Neurospora crassa OR74A: one gene and its partner. The protein of the gene in region 1 binds, or shares a complex with, the protein of each later gene. Links are inferred from orthologs where the notes say so. Each region holds a gene or a part of one and is shown on either strand. Other genes may lie near its edges.

The links.
Region 2: the proteins of cac-2 (region 1) and asf-1 are in contact, whole or in part, in a crystal structure (PDB 2Z3F), measured with the Schizosaccharomyces pombe proteins. The link is inferred for Neurospora crassa OR74A from reciprocal best matches to the Schizosaccharomyces pombe genes pcf2 and asf1. Residues at the interface, in NP_594450.1 of Schizosaccharomyces pombe: Lys503, Arg504, Ile505, Ala506, Pro507, Thr508, Pro509, Val510, Tyr511; in NP_588267.1 of Schizosaccharomyces pombe: Phe28, Asp37, Leu60, Leu61, Val62, Gly63, Pro64, Ile65, Pro66, Gly68, Ile69, Asn70, Lys71, Phe72, Val73.

What each region holds. Positions count from the first base shown.
Region 1 is NC_026501.1:5,640,838-5,649,743, reverse strand, and holds cac-2 (chromatin assembly factor 1 protein), read right to left. Parts: upstream 5,524-8,906; 5' UTR 4,978-5,523; coding exon 4,852-4,977; intron 4,779-4,851; coding exon 4,676-4,778; intron 4,590-4,675; coding exon 3,266-4,589; intron 3,213-3,265; coding exon 2,567-3,212; 3' UTR 1,897-2,566; downstream 1-1,896. Other genes in the region: NCU08356 (acetamidase), read right to left, coding at 1-915, 1,029-1,069; NCU16404 (hypothetical protein), read right to left, coding at 6,914-6,922, 7,246-7,272, 7,410-7,715. UniProt on the Schizosaccharomyces pombe protein: Acts as a component of the histone chaperone complex chromatin assembly factor 1 (CAF-1), which assembles histone octamers onto DNA during replication and repair.
Region 2 is NC_026507.1:177,599-181,198, forward strand, and holds asf-1 (histone chaperone asf-1), read left to right. Parts: upstream 1-1,303; 5' UTR 1,304-1,780; coding exon 1,781-1,889; intron 1,890-1,980; coding exon 1,981-2,329; intron 2,330-2,524; coding exon 2,525-2,882; 3' UTR 2,883-3,576; downstream 3,577-3,600. Other genes in the region: NCU09435 (mRNA 3'-end-processing protein RNA-14), read right to left, coding at 1-104. UniProt on the Schizosaccharomyces pombe protein: Histone chaperone that facilitates histone deposition and histone exchange and removal during nucleosome assembly and disassembly.

The DNA of each region.
Region 1 (8,906 bases):
GCCGGACTTGGATCAACCACTTTGTCCGTCCTCAACACGCCAACCCTCAACCTCCTCTCCTGATCCGTAAACTCCTCCACCACTTCGTCCCTCCACGCAAGCGGGTGAACAGAGTGATCATACTTCCACGGCTTCATCCCAATCACCGCCTTGGTAAAATAGCTCAAATCATCCAGCGTCCTCGCCATCGGTGAGTAAACACTAGGCACGCCTTCCTGGCCGGGCATGCTGGTCAGGATGCCCGCCTTGGGCCAGCGCCCCGTCGCACACCTCAGGGAATAACACCCGCTGAAATGGGCCGGCACCCTGACGCTGCCCGCCACATCACTACCGATGCCGATGCGTCCGCCACAAGCCAGGAGCGCCGACTCGCCGCCCGTCGAGCCGCCGGGCGAGTATGCCTTGTTGTGAGGGTTCGTGCAGCGGCCCCACACGTCGTTGGTGCTCTCGTAACTCAGCAGGGAGATGGGCAGGTTGGTCTTGACATAAGGGACGGCGCCGGCGTCTTTGAGAAGGCGCACCATCGGCCCGTCCTGCGGGTTGTCGGCCTTGTTCCCGACGAAGGAGGAGTACCCGACTGTCGTGTCGAAGCCGCCTACGATGATGGTGTCCTTCAGGCTGACGGGGATTCCGGCCAGAGGACCCTGGAGGTTGACTCTCTTGGAGTTTTTGAGGGAGTCCTCGGCGGCGGAGATGAGGACCTCGGTCAGGCAGTTGGTCTTGAGGTGGGCTCTGATGGCAACCTTGCCGTAGGTTTGGAGCACGGAGAGTGGCGATATGGCATTGGACTGGACCCCGGACACGAGTTCGGCGATGGGCTTGTTGATGGTGTCGAGGTCTTTGCCAGACAAGGCGGCATGGTATTCCGGACCGAGCGAGGAGATGCGTTCTTTACGCTCGGCTCGTTTAAGATTACTGTTTGAAGTAGTCTGAGGTTAGCAAAAGGACTACACATTTTTATTCCGGTAATCTAAAGAGCCCTAAGAGCCAGACTTTCTATAAATATGATTATGATGGATACTACTGACCAGTCCCGCTTGTGGCGGAGGTAATCCGAAAGGAAACTCATCGTGTCAGTGTGCTTGCTCACTGCTCACTGAGCTTTTCCCAATATCGAAAGGATGCTCGCTGAAACATCCAAAAACAAGGGATTGTGGTCTGTATGTATCGGTGCTGTCGGCGTTGCCGCGGTTGATAGCTCCTAGGGGCGATGTTGAGTTGAAGACGCGCCGGTTAATTTGTGGGAGGTGGAGATTGGATGAAGGTACTCAGACTGGAAGGGTATTACGCCGTCTAAAACGAATAGGCAAGACGATGTGAGGCCGGTGTAGATAGTTCGGGTTACATGTAACAGAAGTGAAGGGTAAGTTGACAAAAGTAAGCCCCAACACCAACCCCCCTCACGCGGGGGTGACTGCTCTTGTATAAGTGATAACGGCCAAGCCAATGGCGGGTATCTTGAAGCGGTTTGGTGAGAAATGGGAAGCTGCAAGGGGACCCGAGGTCCTACCCTACCTAGCTATCCGAGAACAGATAGCGTCCAGGATAAGCAGTTACACTTCTTCAATTGGACTAAGCTTTATCTCCCTATCGGCGTTTTTGGCTAAGCGTGGACAAAGAGTGCCCTTCGGACATTGTTCCTGTTAATCTTCCCCGCGTTTGAGGTCGCACGTGTGGTATGTTTGGTTACTGGTCACAGGTGCCTAGGTACCATCCAACTAAGTGTTTAAGCTGTCCCTCGTGGACCCGGCGTATCTTTTCCCTCCCAAATTCCTAGCTCCTGCCGAATTGTTGCACCACAGAAGTACTCACCGTAGGGAGAAATCAGACCGGTCAAGATTCCAGATACTTACCTTTAGATGATAAAGTAACATGAATGAATTCAGATAATCTTTTTACCTCGAAAAGTATTTTATTGTCGTCAATTATCATGCAATTGTTTTGTCTGCTCAAAAGCTGACGGTGGGTGAGTGCTTAAGCCGTCCTAAGCCGAGACCTCCGCGTTGGCGAGCCTGTACCTAAGCAGACCGATACCGGGCATAGTATCACTGCCGTAGCTCAGTCAACTAACTTCCGGGGTTTATTAGCATAACAAGAGTAAGAAGACTCCATACCGCTCATCTGTGCATGGCCGAATCTTCAGATATCATAAAGTAGCTGACATCTCAGTCTGCCCAGAATAGCACCCACCACCAAGCGCATCCAAACCACCAATTAAACTGTAGCTTCCGTACTTAAACGTTCTGTATTCTTCAGCCAGCATGATGCCTGCCAACACCACTGTAGATGCAATAACAAATTGACCTGGCCGCTCTTACCTTCACGATATAGAAGATTGTGCAGAGAACCAAGAGCCCAAGGGGCAAGTTCTCCCACACTGGGCAGCGAAACATCAAAGATATAGGACCAAAACCTCAAACCCTCAAGACATCACCCTTTTCCGTTCTCCTCCTCTTGCATGCTTTCCTATCTTCCATTCGACCTGTCTTAGCACATGTCAAAGACATCTATTTGTGAAGTATCCGCGGGTTGTGCTAGATCCTTGCGACAACAACCGCCTAGCGACCTACGCTTTAGCCACGTCGCTGTTACTGGACCCGTCAGTCGTAGACGATGCCCCTCCGCTGACCAAGGTAGGCGCGATGCGTCTCCGTTTGGGTTGCTGGCTATTCTCCGCGTTATTTGCCTCGCGAGAATCGCTTGACTCCCTCTTCAAGTTAGTGGAGCCAGCACCACCGCTCGAACTCTGCGGCGTCTCAGGAGGGGTCACAACGGGCAAGCCCGTAACCTTGCCCGAATTGGTGGCAGCGATGCTTGGCACTTGGCCAGAAATAAGCGGTGGGTTGCTCATAACCCCGCCCTGTGATGTAGAAGCTTGAGTAATGGCAGAACTAGTCGAGTTGGATCGTGCCGGTGAAGGGGGCGGCGGGTTCACGAAGGAAGCAGCTGTAGGTGGCGAAGGCGCCGTAAAAGAGCTCGCAGAGTCCCTATGGCGATGGTTGGTACCGTTGTGAAACGGGGATGGGGGGGCAAACACCCCCGAGGGATTGGGAAGAGACGTGTTCTGGTTCGACGTGGCTCCTCCAGAGGACAGTGAATGTCGTGGACCAATTTCTCCAGTATACGGTATACCCAACTCTCCAGGCAAAAAGGACAGGGTGGAACAGAACCCATCCGACGAGGATATCAACAGCGTCAAACCATCAGTCGACCTGCAACTTATATTAGTTTGCGAAGGCTCAAGGAAGCAAAGGGAATAACTTACCAGGTAAGGTCCGTAAAAGTGGCGCAGTGCAAGTTGCTCACAACGCAGATAGGTGTGTGTTGCTGGGTATCGTACAGAAGCACTGAGTCTTGGGTGGCTACAGCGTAGACCATCCGATACGGGAGCGCGAACGCCGACTTCGGTCCAGGGCTCTGCACTGGAGCCTCCGTCGATCCTGAAACCGAACTTTCGGTGGGCAATGGAGGAGGTGGTGGCTCCATCACGGACGGAGCTGTTGAGGGCTTTGCTAATGGTTCAGGCAGTGAAGGTATCGGCTCCTCGGCTGATGAAGTATCAATGGTGATGTGTTTGGTGACGGGCGGTGATTGTCTCAAGGTGTAGATGATTGGGGAACATCTGACGGCGACAGACGGCTTCTTGTGTCCGGGTAAATGGGCAATGGGTGGTTTGTTGATGCCACCTCGCGTGTATATGTATACCGTATTAATGACCTCGTACAAAGGTTTCCCGCCATCCACCTGATGCTGAGTCTGATATTGACCAGCAGGTGTCAGGAGCAGACTTCCGTCAGGTGTGAAGGTCAGTCTCCGGAAAAATGAAGTTAGAGTCTCATTCGCATAAAGGCTCGCATTCTTCATGCCCAGGCCGTAGCTTGAAGAGTGCGGTTTGGGAGAAGCCTCGATAGGCATAACAGCAGGCAAAGGCATGGACGGTGCGGGCGACACTGATCGCCTGGACGAGAACGACGATCTCCGGCTATGGCTGATGACACTGGGAGGGTTCATAGGCAGGGCCATCGAAGTGGGAGTACCCGGGATGGAAGGGTTTGGGGATCCAGCAACAGCACTGGGATCCAGGGATGTAAAAGCGGGCCGGTTACCGAACTCGGGCGGAGCTGGGCTATGAGAGGATATCCTGCGAGGAGGAAGATCTGTTTTGGCGTGGCTGGCAATCTTTGGTGGCTTGTCGTCGTGGTTGTTGGCGAGGGTATACTGGCCATCCTTGGTCCTCAGCGAGTAGATATGTACCGATCGATCGGAAGATTGTGTCGCGATGTACTCGTTCAGAGGATCCCATGTAACGCCCTGGACGTAGTGGCTATGTTCGGCAATCTGGCGCACGAGTGTGCCCGTCGAAGCGTTATAGATGCGCGCAACGTTGTCCATGCTGCCGATGATGAAAAAGGCAGCATCCGGGGACCAGGCAAGATCATATATCTCCGTGCCCAGGGACCGGCACATGTGCTTTGTCCTCCATGTTTCCTTGTCTTCGAGGCCTTCGTTTCCGAACGTCGCGTGGTGAGTGTCTGATGGAACCCACAAGATGACATTGCCGTCATCTCCAGCAGAGGCAAGGAGTTCACCTGAAAGGGGCCTTGTTAGTACGCGAAAAAGCGAGCCAAGGGATCCGGAGAGCTGGTGGCATGCCACGAGGGCAAGGACAACGTACCTTTGGGAGCCCAGCGAACGACGTTGACTGCTTGTGTATGTTTGGACAGGGTTGCCAAGTACTCGACCCTACGATTCTCGCCATCCTCCTCTATTCTCCATAGCTGTCGCAATCATAACAATCAGTATGGGTCCAAAAACCTGAACGCAAGGGCGGGACAGGGTAGATTGCATTACTCGAACATTGTTGTCTCCGGCGGCGGTAGCTAAGCGGCCCTTGCCTCCGGGTTCGAAATGGGCAGAGTAGATGGGGTACGGATTGTTTTCGTGGTGCCAGTTGATGATTAACGGAGTGGCTTTCATTGTGGCATATAGTCGGTTGGAGCACGAGACGGGTGGGTTGACGAGAGGTGAAGGACGGAAAAGTGGTGGTGAGAAAGGCGCAAGTGTTGCCGGGTCAAGTGGAATTATTTCAATCGGCAACGGCACCACTTTCTGGGGAAGGTCTGGGGTTTCTGATCGGTCTGGGGTTCCGTCCCGCCGTTGGCTCGGCGATGAACTGCCTGTCGTGAGAAGTGCGGCAGCCGTGCAAGTGCCCTGCGCTGTGCTATGGGCTCGAGGATAGCAGATCCAGCACAGGTCTAGCAGCTGCAGATGAGGCGGCTGGCTGGGAACAACAATGAGAAGGCTTCGATTTTCCGATGGTGAGGAGCCTGGGAGCACAGTCGATTGGGCTTTGGTCAATTGAAGTGGCCGGAGAAATCAATTGTCGTAATCTTGATGGAGGGAATCGCAAGAGGACATGGGGATGCGGGCGGGATATGTGAAGCAAGTTCTTTAATACCATCAAGAAAGAATTCGAGGTTTGGGTGGGTGGAATAGCTCCCGTTGAGGTCGGCTTGTTCCACGAGGCCTGTGCGGAGCTAGGTACCTAGCTCAGGGCGTTGATATTGGTTGGATTGGATGTCCGCGCAGTTGACCGGAACCTTGAAGGGCGGCGCCGCTCAGTTGCAAGAAATGATAGGTACGCCCTGGCGGGACGGGACTGGGCAAGGAGGAAGCTAGGTAAATTGCTACCTAGCATGGACATACCACTCAGGTGTCGGGCGAGTCGAGGTAGTCGATCTTGGCACTCAGGTACTTCTCCTGTTGACAGGCAGTAACTGAGTTGTCCGAAGTTGATGCCATTCACGATACATGTGACGACGGATGAAGCAACAATACCTAGCAGCAAAGAACTTGCTTGTTCGCATCCCAGGCAGACCTGGTTGAACTTGTTGAGGAGTGCTTTAATTGAATAACGTGAGACCTGCCACCTCCTACCACTGCACCTACTTACCTCCAAACCCAAGAGAAGAGGTGAAGAAGGACGGGAACCTTCCCTCCATGTGATCTGAGTGCAGCAGCTGCATTGCACTTGCCCGACAGTTGGCGCTGGCAACCCGCCTTGATGTTCAAGGCCCACCTTGCACGATCCCTTTCACTTTGCGGGACGGAACTGAAAGAGCCCAGGTGCACTGGCGGTCATCGAACAAATGACCAACTCCCAACCACAAAAACCTGGAACCGTGTTCTGCCCGCTCCTCCACCTACCTCGCTCCTGCATGCCTCAACTAGTACCAAGTCTCGGCAGCCACTCTACCTAGAGGTATACACAAGACTTCTGTCGACAGCCACCCTTCACACCCAGCCAATCAAATGGAGATTGCCTCTTCCCGGCGCCGGGACATTGATCCCGAACCGTGACACTGCCATGAAGGCGAGGCAAGACCTGAGCGGATGATACACCGACCAAATTTCCAGAATAAACACACCAAGGATTGAGACCAGAGTGCTGGGTGTTCAGTCGATCTTGTCTCCCAAAGTGACACCATATCTCGACCTCCCAAAGTCCAACCAACCAAGTGAAGATAACCATGAGCTGAACGACCCAAATCTGGAAAGAACAAGAGATCCGCTTACAGGTTCCAGTTGATTCTTCAACTGGTGGAACTGGGCTTATCGCGTCTGCACCCCCCCCTCTTTCTTCTCTCTAAACTGGATATGTATTGGAATCGAGCTTCATTTGACGGCAGACGGCAGACAATGGACAGCAGCGCTTCTCGGAGGCTTGCCCTGAGATCGACAAAGGCAGCGCGACAACCGACTTGCGACACCGGTACAATCGCATCTGTTCCCCATTCTCCTGGTTGTGGAGAGTTCAAATATGAGCACCCCGATGGACTACACTTGTACTCTCGGGTTGAGGACGACAGTGGTTTCGAGTTCGAAAGTTGGGCCAGATTTGCACCCGAATCTTTTAGTGACTCTGCGTTTCCATCAGTCAGCACCGCCCGTTCTCTCCTCGACATCCCAACAACTTTTTCCTAACACTCTTAGGTAATCCACCAAAGGATTACTAAATGAAACAACTTGGAAAAGACCGTGCAACCATAACGACCCAAGCTAGTGCTTTACAGAAAGCCACAAAGCCCCCACCAGCAACGACAATGGACAAGACGGTGACGATGGTGAGGGGAAGACTTTGGAAGAGTTACCGGCAAAGCGAAGAGGTCAAGTCATCGACCTACCACTTTACCGCCTTTACGCTATGGAGGATGCTCGGTTGTCCAGTTACGGCCCCTTACACACACCTCCTCTGACGTAGCGTTGTGGTGCCTTTATGCTTTCACAGCTCGAGTCAGTATGTTTGAGCTGGTGTACAAGCACATCCCCAACTTTCCGAGTCTCATTGACTTGGCCTTGACATTCATATGTTTGGTTGAAGAGGCTATCTTCCAGGATGGTCGTCTTACTTCGAAACCAGTCTTGCATGCTGTCTTACTTGGTGGCTTCCCCAAGGTGCTGCGGTATTCAAATTTCCCGGCTTGTTGAGGCTCACCACTGCGAATAGATTTCTCCAAGATCATGCTCCTAGCAGCTTGGCCCAGCTCAAAGCTGGTGCCGAAATTCGTCCAGCTGAGAGCCAATGCGTGGGAATTCACAAGGGCCGTCGGGATTGGTTTTGTACTTCTCCCTGAGCCGTGCATTATTTGATTGGTTTTCGTGTGGACGCCACGACCGATGCCGAACGGGTCTGTTGAGTTCAGGTTGTTGGTCATGGAGACTTTTGGCGCATTGAATGTCTTTCGCGCCTATTCGAGAGATTGGCGATAGTTGCGGCAGTTGTCGTGTGCGAACACCCAGAAGTCCGAAGCTCAGGCAAATGTGAAATTTGGGTGAAAGAAGACCAAAAAAAAGAAGAAGAAAAGGAAACTTTACACACGAATATCACAACAGTCTTTGATCACGAGAACGTCTCAGGCGCTGTCGCACAGCTCTTTTAGTCAATAACTCGGTCATTACGTGTTGACGAAGGTTCAGCAATGACAACTTCGTATCTTCACGGTTTCAAAGAGTCTTGCACATAGAAGCCGATTACGCCGACTTTATGGACAACCTGGTCAATAAAGAGGCGAGTTGCCGGATATCCGCCAAGCCAAAATTCAGGATGACGATGTCAGGTTCGCATCGTTGCAGAATGGCGTATCGCAGCGGTACGTACATAGCCGATCGGGCTATCCAAGATCAAGCGTCGTAGCATTTTCCGGTGTTTGAGGCTTACCAGTGGAGGTGTCTTTTGTCCCGACAGCAACAATTATACATGTACCTAGTGCACATAGTACGGCTGCATATCACGTCCAGTTTGCCCCTGGGCCCTTTCCATATCTCGGACAGTACACTAAATCCAAGCTAAAATCCGGGGCGGCTTGCACCCCGAGTGAGTCACGTAGTGTACAGATATTTCTCCTGCCTTTCTAGGTAGAGGCAGGTTCGAGTCGATACCAAGCTTGGCAATCCGTCCTCCTATCAACGTTGCGTTGAAGGCATGACGGGACGTACGGCGTAGCAGCATCTACTACCTATGCAGTATATGCATGCAGTATGGAGCATGCGGTGTATGTACCTACCTACTGCGTACAACCACTACATGGATTCCCAGCGTGGGAGTAAAGGTGATTTGAATCGATGGGGTATAGTGCCGGCTGTCAGCCTGTATGCAAGTGCATGAGAATGTGAGCAGTCTGTCCGTTATCTCACACCCCCCCTTCAGCCCAGGCGCTCGACAAGTTCGCCATGTGAGTCAAGACAACAATCTCTTTTCCATCTCCCACCCGAACGGCGACGGATGAACCCAATGCTGCTGGCTACCGTTGCACGATCATCTTACATCCAGCACACTGCGGGGTTCGTTGCATTCAGAACGGAAGGGTGTGTCTTGACATGTTCAAAAGACCCTTCTGCTGACAGGA
Region 2 (3,600 bases), on another chromosome or scaffold:
CCCTCAGCCTCCCCGTATTGTTCGCTGCCATCAGCCTCGCCATAGTCCTCTTGCTCCTCCCACGAGGCAGCGTTAATGTTTGTGGGGTCGTAGTCGTCGGACATGTTTTGTGAGTTCAAGTTGGAATCGAAGATGGAAGCGGTTTATCCTAGCTTTGGAAGAACGGTATTTCTCGTGGAAGTGAACGGGGTGTGGTCGAGGCGCGTCGATATCGCAGGGCGGCAAAGAGAACAGTCGGAATCAGGGCCGTGGAGACGGGTGACCTATGCTTGCATATTGCTGCTACGGTAGGTGCTGCGGCTGTAGCTAGCTGTATATGTAGCTATAGCTGTCGGGGTCCGTCACAGTCGCGGTCGCGCAGTTTGAGGGTCGATGGGGGGAGGAGAGGTCAAAGTCAAAAAGAGCTAGGTGATAACCAGTTGACTGGACACCAACAAAGAATCCACCCAGAGGGTGTGGAAAAAGAAAAAGAAGAAAAAAAGACTTGTTGATATTGCGCAAATACTATCGTATTCCAGAATCCGTCGGAGAGGATGGGCGAATATCGCAAGGTCCAGTTGGAGTCGGTGTGGATTTGTATTTTGTTGTGTGTGTTGTTGTTCGTTTCCTTGTCGTCGAATGGAAGATTGGATGCAAAAGAAAGGCCAAAGTTGGAAAGCGGACATCCAACGACAGAACTCACATTGCCCGAGCTTTGACAGTTCTGCTGCACTCACTGCTGCAGTCACTCACTGAAAGCAAAAGTCCGTCGCGACGCTAGAGCGCACTCCATGGAGTCCATGGAAGTTCAATGGACGACGCTGAGTGGTCGGATTCTTTCAAATTATGGGTTCTTCTGCTGCCTCTTTTTTCAAAGCTTCAGAGGATCCACTCCCGGGCCGTCCAACAGCAAACCATCCACATGAGGCTGAAAGTGGCTGGCAGCTTGGAATCATGTGGCTTCTTCGCTCCGTCGGGTTCTGGCCCGATGCCTGCCACACCAAGACGTTGGATTGCCGGCGGCAAGACTACTGTACTACTACGCCCTACAAGCGGGAAACGCGTTCCTGTTCGTCCACTTCTTTCAATTTACGCGACTCACACCACTGCACATGTCCCGCCTGTAGAGGTACTTATCAGGCACCAGCACAATGGACACAGAAGGAGCAGAACTGAAGACGGAAAGATACACCGTGAAACGAATTTCAAAGCCATCGGAACCGCTTCTGTGTTATAGTTTCGGTTGGTAAATATACCAAATGTATCAATACGTCTCAAGTGTAATGAAATAGGAACAGCTCTGCCCGCGTGTGCAATGTAATGTCCATGATAGGCGCCGTCCTGTCCCTCTTCCATTCAGTTTCGTTGCAGTCCAGTTCTTGTCCCACTCCAACTGGCCATTTCCCCTCGCAGTCCGCAATGCACAGTCCTGTCCCGTAGGTCTTGTCTTGTCCCCCTCCTTGCATAATTAAGCTGGCTGGACTTGACTTTGACAGACCACGCTCCACTTTCTTCTCCAATCTCCTCCTCCACCAAAACAAACACCACATCCACGCAAGACAAGCCAGCAACCAGCAAGTCTTGGCCCAAAGCATCTTCTTCCCTCCTTCTTCTTCTCTCCCTTGTCCAGGGAGTTGTCTATTCGTACTGCTGTATCATCACTTGGTACATTCCTTCTACCAACTATAAATACTTGCGCGACTAGATACCACCACCATCACCATCACCATCACCACTCCTTGAGTGCGACATCTTCACATCTTTGTCAGTTTGCCCACGCGGCAACATCACCACCGCCAAGATGTCTGTCGTCTCGCTTCTCGGGGTCAATGTCATGAACAACCCCGCCAAGTTCACCGACAAGTATCTCTTCGAAATCACCTTTGAATGCCTTGAGCATCTCGAGAAGGGTATGCTTCTCCTCCTCCTCCCTCTTCTCGCCCCTCATTCGCATTTCTTCGCGTCGTGATCTTGGCGCTAACCGTCGCGTATGCGTATCAGACCTCGAATGGAAGCTCACCTATGTCGGCTCGGCCACCTCGGATAACTACGACCAGGAACTCGACTCCCTCCTCGTCGGCCCCATTCCCGTTGGCGTCAACAAGTTTATTTTCGAGGCCGAGCCTCCTGACACAAAGCGCATCCCTATCGACGAGCTTCTGGGCGTCACGGTGATACTGTTGACGTGCGCCTACGACGGTCGCGAGTTTGTGCGCGTTGGGTACTATGTTAACAACGAGTACGAGAGCGAGGAGCTCATTAATGATCCGCCCCCAAAGCCCGTCATTGAGAAGATTCGCCGCAACGTCCTGGCCGAGAAGCCAAGAGTCACGCGATTTGCCATCAAGTGGTATGTGTCACCCTGATACGATGTTAAAGTTTTTGCATTGCCTCTGCCTGCGATGGCGCGACCCGACGGCGCGGAAGGACGCGGCAAGCCCCACTGGCCCTCCCTTCTGTCTTAGTTGCCCAGCAACACACTCTCCCTACTTACAACTGTCTCTCTCCCTTTACCCCATATTCATGCTAACACCATCAACCACAGGGACTCTGAAGCCTCCGCTCCTCCTGAATTCCCTCCCGAACAGCCTGAAGCCGACGAGGTCGCCGACGAAGAAGAGTATGGTGCCGATGAACTCGCCGAACAATCGAGCATCGCCGACCCCGCCGTCAACGGTGGCATGGAAGTTGAGGGCCAGCCAAATGGCGCCATCGTGATTGAGGAAGACGAGATGTCCGAAGACGGCAGCGTCGATCTTGAGAACGAATCCGAGGACGAGCTGGACGGTGAAGGCGACGCCGAGGGCGAGCTCGAGCAAGGACAGGATGAGGACATCGAGATGGGCGATGAGATGGAGATCGATGACCACCCAAAGCAGCAGGGCATGGCCATGGCTCAATAGAGTGAGACCATGGAAGAGGACGAGGAGACGTTGAATGTTAGCCCTCTGTGGGATTCGGAAATGGGGACTGCAGGAAATTACCACAAAAGGCGAGGTTCTTCGAGAAAGGATCATTGGTCTGTGATCATGGGGCCGTGAAGAGCGATGGATGGGATACCAAGAGCTTCAATATCCTGCGGTCGAGGCCAAGCTGTGCAGCTGATACAAGCAAGCGGATGGGAAACGGCTGGGTTCTCCCACTCTCACTGGATACTGTTTGTCTACATTCCAACCAAGGGGGCGGTGTGATTGAGAGGGTCATCAGCCGGATGAGATGGAGTCCCGGCGATTGTTGTCTTGTGCTTACCGCTCAGCTTCCCTCGTTTGGATGCGGGCAGTGAGTGGGTGGAGGCTGACGAGTTATGTCTCTTTGATTGCTTTCTGTGTGTTGCCGTGTCGATCCGTGTTATCTGTTGCTTTTGCGAAACATACATCGTTGCTGGCTGCATGGTGCTGGTGGCGTGTTATCATACCCTACTTTTAGAAAGCAAAGAACATGGAAGAAAGAGAGAATTGATTGGGATCAGTCCGTACCCTATATTGCTGTTCTCGCTGTAAAACTCATGTCTTGATTTCTCAATGTTCCAATGTCTTCAGGTTCGCCCCTTTCAGGCTCCGGTGCCTCCTCCATGGTGTCGCTAGCATAAGTTCTTCCAGGAAAAAATTATTACAAAAATAA